2 linked regions of the Coturnix japonica genome follow. The protein of the gene in region 1 purifies or fractionates together with the protein of each later gene. This does not show direct contact. Links are inferred from orthologs where the notes say so. Each region holds a gene or a part of one and is shown on either strand. Other genes may lie near its edges.

Evidence for each region.
Region 2: the proteins of SLC7A11 (region 1) and CD44 purify together in Homo sapiens (affinity purification with western blotting; 3 studies listed by BioGRID and IntAct, with this or other methods). This does not show direct contact. The link is inferred for Coturnix japonica from reciprocal best matches to the Homo sapiens genes SLC7A11 and CD44.

Annotation. Positions count from the first base shown.
Region 1 is NC_029519.1:25,381,533-25,385,972, reverse strand, and holds the start of SLC7A11 (cystine/glutamate transporter), read left to right. Parts: upstream 1-1,473; 5' UTR 1,474-2,850; coding exon 2,851-3,121; intron 3,122-4,440. UniProt on the Homo sapiens protein: Heterodimer with SLC3A2, that functions as an antiporter by mediating the exchange of extracellular anionic L-cystine and intracellular L-glutamate across the cellular plasma membrane.
Region 2 is NC_029520.1:5,854,157-5,857,970, forward strand, and holds part of CD44 (CD44 antigen), read right to left. Parts: intron 1,830-3,814; coding exon 1,707-1,829; intron 488-1,706; coding exon 409-487; intron 1-408. UniProt on the Homo sapiens protein: Cell-surface receptor that plays a role in cell-cell interactions, cell adhesion and migration, helping them to sense and respond to changes in the tissue microenvironment.

The sequences.
Region 1 (4,440 bases):
GGGAGGGAGGGGAGAAAAAAGCAAAGAGAAACAATAAAAATCCATGCACAATGCCAGCTGCCATTGGAGGCTGAAGGTTTGTTTTCAGAGCACTGTCTTTACTTCCACTGCTTCCAGTAATTTCATCAGTCTAAAGAAATTTGTACCTTTTATATTTTTGCTCTGCTTCCAGTGAAGGTTTTTATGGAAGAAGGCTTTTTTTGAATGTCAGGCAAGTTAAGCCCCACACCTTCAGAAGAGCTCTCTGAAAAAGGCTGAGTGCTGTGCTGTGGTTGCCCAGGGAAGGTACAACAGCCCATGGTGGGCTGCAGGTGATGAAAACAGGTTTGGAACATGCTGTGTACTGTGGGGCAGCAGTGGGCATTCTCCACAGAGGATTCTCATGAAATTTCCAGGAAACCACAAACCATCCCCGAGCACCAAATAAGTATTCTCTGTTCTGATAGTTTGAATTAAGCTTCGAATGCAGGAACTTGTTTGATATTAATTGATAGGATAGAGAAATGCTGTACACTGCAGTGCTCACTGGGAAGGATGCAAATAGCGTAATCATGAGCGAGCTGCCAATAGTTCAGAAAAAAGGTTTTCTGTGTCTATCCCTCCTTGGTTATTCACACTTTAGACAGTTTGGTGGGAGTTCTATGTAGTCTTAAGCTTTCCATGTCCACTATCCTCCCCTAGTAGAAGCAGCAGGCACCCTTTTCCCTGTGTGGGGGAGTGTTACTCGTGATGTCCAAAGGGCAATTGTGGATTCAGAACATTTTTGCATTTTTTTGGCTAGGGATCAGATGAAATTAGAAAGCCATTTGACTGCTCAGTGCTTATACTGATGCAGATGGCTGGGTGATGGGGAGCTGCCTGGGGATCAGCTGGGAACCCACTGAGCTTTGATGTGATCCCAGAGCCATCTTCCTACTGAAACAGAGGGTAATCATTGGGTAAGAATGACTACATTATGCTATTAGATGTTTCAAGATGTCATGTGTTTCTTCTGAAAGCAGCCTTCGGAAATGAGAGTAAAGATCATGAGTCCATTTCTGTGGTGAATGCTTTTTCCTGGTTAGAACTGGTTATTTACTTCAGGCATTAATAATCTCGTGGAGGGACTGCTTAACAAATGTACACCAAGGGAAAACAGTTCTGTGTAGTATGACACCTCCTCGTGGCTTCATGTGTGACCAGTACTGAGAGAGTCAGCTTGGTTCAGACCCAGCAGTGCTGCATGAGGAGCAGGTGTGTCCTGAGGTCAGGTGCAAGCTGTGCTGGGGCAGGCAGGGCAGGATGTGTTCAGAAAACAGGCAGTGCCAGTCTGCAGTCAAAAGCTGAAATGCCTTCTGTTTTTATCTGCGTGCATTTAAACCAGATAAGCTTTTAGCATGCCTTGTTTCACCTCGGTGCAAATTATTACAGGTGAGTGATAACTGAAAATGTGAGGCTTTAAAATCACCGTAATTTTACAGCTGCAGTGTTTTAGTACTCCAGCATCTCCGTTTCCCAAATAAATGTGAAAGCACAGTTGTGCTCAGAGCTCTGTGCCTGTTTTTCACATGATAAAATGCCGCTTTATTGCTTTCTTTCCCCACCCCAATCCCGGGTCCCAATTAAACAGCAACCCCAGGAATCACTTCTCTGTGCACTGATCTGATCTGAAGCCATGAGCAGCTGCAGAAGTTAAGCTGGGCAGGATTTTTCCCTTTGGCACATATTGCATGCCCCTTAATTAGCTGACAAGCACTTGAAAGCTAGTGATTTTCATCCTGCTTTAGCAGAGGGTTCTTCTTTTAAAGATTTTAATTTCTCAGGTTGGAATTTGAGGAATCAGGCAGTGAAACAGAAGTTTGTAGGGTCCAGCAGTCTTACTGCTCTGAGGGGCTTTGTGAGAGGGAACACTTGGGTTGCCGGGTTGCCGGAGACCCTGTGCTCCCTGCAGCTCTCCTCCTGCCAGAGCATGGCATCTGCAGACAGGGATGGTGTTTCCAAAGGGGAAGTGTCACTGCTGAGTTGCTACCAACATCCAGAAACACCGCCTGTATGAAAAGTACTGTTCTGGGGAAATAACCTAGATTTTCACGAGTCTGATTTGGGTGTGTTGCCAGGCAACATGGGCTAACAGGGGTTTGTATGTTTTCTTTAGATAGGTGGAGGCAGTCCCCCTAGGCTTGCAGGTAGGCAGAGGCTGACCCGCTGCAGCAGGACGAAGAGTTCAGCTCTGAGCACTGAACTTTCACTAAGAGAGCTGAGAGAAAAAGCAGCTGGATCAGACCCAGAGCTGACGTATCCTGTTTGATTTCTTTTCCCCTCGCGCTCCGACACGCTTTGTGTTTCGGCAGGCTTTTGTTTCTGCGTACAAGTTGCTGTAACAAACTGGGGAGCGTGTCTGGGGGTGCCGGCGGCGATGTGCTGAGCTCGATGGGCTGGGTTTCCTGCGAAGGCTTTGTTCCTCCTACCACGCTCAGGTCGGTTGTGCAACATGCCCCTGAGCTTTGAGAAGAAAAAAAAAAAAAGTGCTGAGTAATGCCAGAGGTTTCTCAAATGGCTGATGCAAACCTGGAGAATTTGCATCATCATTCAGCTGGACTAACTTGGTACGACAAGAGCTTAAATACAGGTCCACGCGGAAGCTGAGCTGGTTCCCAATGATAGGGCAGTGCCCGTGGGCAGGGTGAGGGTGCAGGTGCTGCGAGCGCTGGCAGGCAGCAGGGCAGAGCAGAGCAGAGCTCTACCTGCACGTAGTAGCAACCCCACTGATAAGAGGTGGCGGAGGAAGAGGCTGGGAGAGGAAAAAGCCTTGAGTTGCTGCTGGGAACTTTTTGGCTGTGCTCGCCATCGGCGTGCTGGTGGCACGGTAGCATGGTGAGGAAAGCTGCTGTCATGACAGTTTCTAATGGGAGCTACTTGCAGGGGCAGCCGAACGGCAGGTTGCCTTCCATGGACAGCAGGCAGCCACAAGAGAAGGTGGTGCTGAAGAAGAAAGTCACGCTGCTGAGGGGGATCTCCATCATCATTGGCACTATCATTGGGGCTGGCATCTTCATCTCACCCAAGGGGATCCTGAAGAACACAGGCAGTGTTGGCATGTCCTTGATGGTCTGGACAGCATGTGGCATCCTCTCGCTCTTTGGTAAGTCTGCTTCCAATTGGTCTGGAGGGGCAGCTGGTGGATTATTCCTATTTTTTGTCTGATTTTCCATTGGATATCAAGGCTCAGCATGGAGCCTGAGGACCAATGGGGCTGCGGAAGGCTTTTGCTCTGCAGAATGCTGCATGCAAGGCACAGCAGTCCACAGTCTTTGTCACCCAGCATCGTGTCAGCACTGGTTGTGAGTACAGGTTGTTTCTCATGGGTTCCTAAAGAAAAAGCAAGTAGCCGCTTTCTGCTGTTAGCTGTGCTGTACATAATATGCTGTTCTTCTGGCTGTAAGAAGTAGCTCACAGCTTGCTTGTGAGGCCCCTGACAGCTGGTGTGCGGGGCCAAGTGTTGAGGTAGCTTTACTTGGTTCCCTGGAGGCTCGGTCAAGGTCTCAGGGAATAACTCCCACTGGGTGTAATCTGTGTTGGTACGAGAGGGAGCAGTGTAGTAACATCAACAGCCCCTCTCCCCTGTCTCATGTTACTGCTTTTCACTTTATTCCCTGCTCTCAGTGTGCCTTGAAAAGTTCAGGTTGCAAGGATGAATGCAGCAGAAACAAATGTGTAAAATGAGTTTTATTGTTGGCCTGTTTGTTGTGACAGTTTTTACTAATTTTGCTGTGTTTCTTTTTAACAATATTACATTCTGAAGAATGTCGGGTGGTTTGTTCTGTTCACAAAGCCCCATTCAGAGCAGAAAACCCCACCCTGACTCCTGGGGGACAGAGGGTCCATTGACCTCCTTAATGAGTTAATCTCAAAGAAGCGGAGGAACTAACATGAGTATTGGCTTTATTTAAAACAGAGGCGACTTGTTTTCTGGCACGAGGTAGGGAGGACAAATAGGGGCTAACACGTGTCTGTCTAATAGGTGGAATGTGCAAATGCCACCCTGTATAACTTGGCTCTGAGCTTAAAAGCAGCATTGAGTGTTTGGAGGCTAAGTCCACCCAAGCCAAACAGACGTTTCAAGAAAGTTAGGACCTGTTCTGGTCAAATGTTAATTGTACTGGCACAATGTGCAACATATTCTGTTGTCCAAATGTTTAAGTCCTGCCGGTAATAAAAATTTCCCTATAGAAACACCTCAAATACAATTTGTAATTCTGTCGTAGGACCCTGGTCTTCAGGTGCAGTCAAAACAGAATTTGCTTAAGCATCTCCCATTTAGCTTTAACTTCAATAGCAGTAATTTTCTGACTGTGAAGTAAAGTCTGTGGAAAAAAATCAGATGGGTTTTCCTAGTCATTTTCCAGATCTCAACGTGTAGAGATCTGTCTAATTTGGTCCAGTAAAAGATATTACCTCTTC
Region 2 (3,814 bases), on another chromosome or scaffold:
ACTCCCAGCTGCATGGCAGCCCTACATAAGAGATATTTTCCACTCACAGCATCTGGGATGTAATTTTTAGCATTGAGACCGTTTCAGTTCTTGTCGGTTGCAATCTATAATTAGTCATCCTGGCCCTGTTTGTCTGTTTCTATGGTGACTCTGGGTATGAGGAAGGAAACAAAGGCAGCCTCTGCTTTTATAAGCATAGCAGAGTGAGATATAAATCAATAAGCTGTGCTGTTCAGGGCGTGTAACTCCAGAGCCACTTAACTTTAAAGAAAGCTGTAGATAATTCTGTCTCACCGTGTGCCTGATATCTTTCTTATTTCACATGGCCTCTAACAATATGGTGTCAGTGCTCCATTCTGTCACCCCCATCACACTTCAGCGTGTTTGGAGAAGTACAGGGTAACTTACCTCCTCCGGCTGTTAACGGCAATGCACACTGCGAGGATCAATGCCAGTGCCAGGAGAGCAGCAACGATGATCAGCCATTCTGGGGGTTGATGGAGGGAAGAGGAATGTGTTAATCCATCCCACGTAATTTCAGAGTTTCATGGACACTCAAGCATTATTTAAACTTTAAGACTTTTTTCTAGTTTAAGTGGGTATTTCCTCATTTTGCAAATTAAATACATTTTCATCAGCCGTGTTGCCTACATGGCCAAAAAAAGTGCTCATCTATGCCCAGGCCAACTCTGATGTAATGCCTGTCCAATGTTAACATATACAAGAACTGTAGTTTGGCTGACATAAGTGTAAAGCTGTTGTATCACTGATTTATTTCAAGAACAGGAGAAAAGGCTGAGACATCTGCAGTCCCAGGTGCAAAAGTAGGATGGATTGAAGGTAGAGTGAAATGTCTACATTCATTTTGTCACTTAAAATCTTAAGTTAAGGAGCATTTTTAGGGAAAACTTTAAAACACAAAAATAAAAAGGAACTGCAATATCATGAGGAGGTAGAACTGGAAGGGATGCCTGGAGATCACATAAGCTGCTTCACTCCGGCAAAACAGAGAGAATAAAAGCACCCCTGAGAAATGTTCTATTTGCTCTTAGCATTTTTTAAAAATGGAAATTTCACAGCAACCTTCCCCATAGCCCATTCTTTATGCACGTCACACTACGCTTACCTTACCAGACTTTGTGTCTTTCCCTGTTGTTTCTGTATGATTCAGTGCCTTGAACTGAATACAGTACCTCAGCTCTGGACTTGCCAGATCTACACTGAGTGGGATAATTACTTTCTCTGTCTTAAAAATGACTTTACTGTTAATATGTCCCAGAATATATTTGCATTCTTTTGCAATTGTGTCACTGTGTTGGCTTCTTTCTATTCTATTCCATTTTAATCTGTAAGCCCTTTTCTACAATGCTTGTCTCAGGTATAACTTCACACTGAACATTTTCACATATATGGTGCTTTGCATCTACCTTCACCAAACTGCCTCAGATTGCATACCCAAGTATGAAGATTATTTATCTCTAAATCCTGTTCTCAAAAACACACGACTTCTCTCTTCTAGATATTACTAGAGTATTCTATGAGTTACAACATGCTCTGTTTCTCAGACTGTTAGTGAAAATGCTGAACATTACCTGATTCAGAACAAAACCAGAATAACGATACTTGACCTACATTTCCGTCTGTTCAGTTCATATTCATGTCATTCTGTTCCTACAGTACTAAAATACATGACTTTGGAAACCTACCTGGTACCTGGGCTGATCTTGGTTGTGACGTTACAGTTGTTGTTGTGGACTCTCCAGGGAAAGGAGTAGGTTCACCATCTTCCTGGTATGGTCCCTGATCACTATTTATATTGGATGTAGACCCTAAAGAACAAAACCACCTGTTAGCCCAAATATCCTTTCTGAGTATTTCACAGGGAGGTACAAAAGCTATGACTTTTCTTATAAAAATATATATGTTTCTAGAAAGTTCACACAGAATCACACACAGGCTATAAACGTTGCACTCATCCACACTATTGCTAACTTCCATATTCTGTTAACAAAGCTTATGGCTGTAATCTTTCACCTTTTACACATTTCATTTTTGATTGTGAACCATGAACCAATATGCAATGACAGTTGCCTAGAAATTGTCTGGAAAGAGTGCAAAGACTTCTACACATTGGTGACTTCTTGAAGAGGTTGCTATTGCGTAAGTCTAAGGTCCTGCCTGCTCTATGGGGAAAAGAGAACGAGAAAAGAGTAGAGAGAGAAGACTGAAAAGGGTCAATAAGAAGAAATTTCAAAACTTTTAATTTTATTCCTATATAGGATAAAGCTGAATTTCCAAAACTTTCCTGCTTTCATAAAATAGAAGTACAGTTCTCTGCATGGTTTACATTTGATAGCTAAGTATAAGGTGGGACCTTAAAAATACAAAATGTTTTTCTTATTAGCAAAAATTCTCTCTGTAAACATAGAGATGGTTCCCTTGGCACTTTAAAATAAGTTTTGTAACTCAGATCTAAGACAGAATTAAATCTTAAATCCAAATGAGTTCTTCTAGTCTCACATATTTTCTGTGACAGTTGAACGGCTTGAAATCTTATGTGATGACAGTAATATTTCTGGCCCACATTGTTGCCACATGGGTATTCCATGTCTAAAATTATTTGCATACAGTGTTTCACATGGGTCTACAACTTTTTTATCAGTACAAAAAGCAATATTACAGATCTGCACCTCTCTGAAATCTTCTAGACCCTGATAGAGCAAATTAGACACTGTAATCAGCTGCGAAGTTCTTTTTCTTTAGCACGTATTGGAGTTCCCCTCTGTCCAGCCTTTCTGATCTCATTTCCTAAAAGCAGCTGGCAAATACAAACTAAGAAGTATATTTTTCCCCACTGCTGAGCATAGCCAACAAGTAGTTCATGAATGTTCCAGATGTTTTCATTATTATTAACAAGAAACTTACTGACTGATGATTTGTTCTGCGATAGTTTATCCCAGTGGACAGAGCATTAATTTAGCAACCAGAGGACTTGATCTAGCCTCCAAGAAAGCAGATCAGGAGGACTGTACTGATTGCCTAACTGGCAATTCAGTGGATATTTTTTTAAGGTGCTTTCTGTCACCCCTTATAAAAACACTTATTAAAGAATCCTGTGCTAAAAAAACTGCTGCATTCACCATCCCCTCTCCTGAGCACTGAGGAGAAGCAGAATTTGGCCATGTCCCCTGGTGTCCTGGCTCTGGGGAAGGTGCCTGCAGTGGGCAGAGAGGGCTCCCAGTTGCCCTGACATTTCATTTTGGTGACATACTGGGTATTCTTCTTTTTGACAGTTATTTTTTGATTAATTCAGTGGACTGTTCTGTTATTCCACTGTGACATTTGGACAAAAGATCAGTCATTAGGGCAATGTCAGACCACAACTTTAAAATTGCTGTGGAGGAAAAGAAATTGAAAGAAAGCAGTACAGTACAAGAACCCATTTGTTTGCTTGGGAGAAGCTTATAGCTAGAACCAGCCAATATATTAATGAATCTTTTCATTCTGCTACAGCTGCGCAAATGAAATGGCTCTTCAACAAATGAGCTTGTTTTAAAAAATGGCAATGCTAGTAATTCTCTTTGATTGTATTTTTAAAAAGCACAAAGAGTAGATAAGTAGGAAAACAAAAGTGAATTCACTTTGAAAAAGGCCTTCAGAGCAACCCATACAGGTTTTTTAATCTCAAAGCAGAAAAGTAGGAAACATTTTATCGAACTGTAATGTCTGCGCATTGCATTGAGGCTGCTTGGCTTAATTAAGTGATAGGGCAGCGAGTGTCAAGAAATGAATTTGTTGTAGTAGGAAGCAGCTA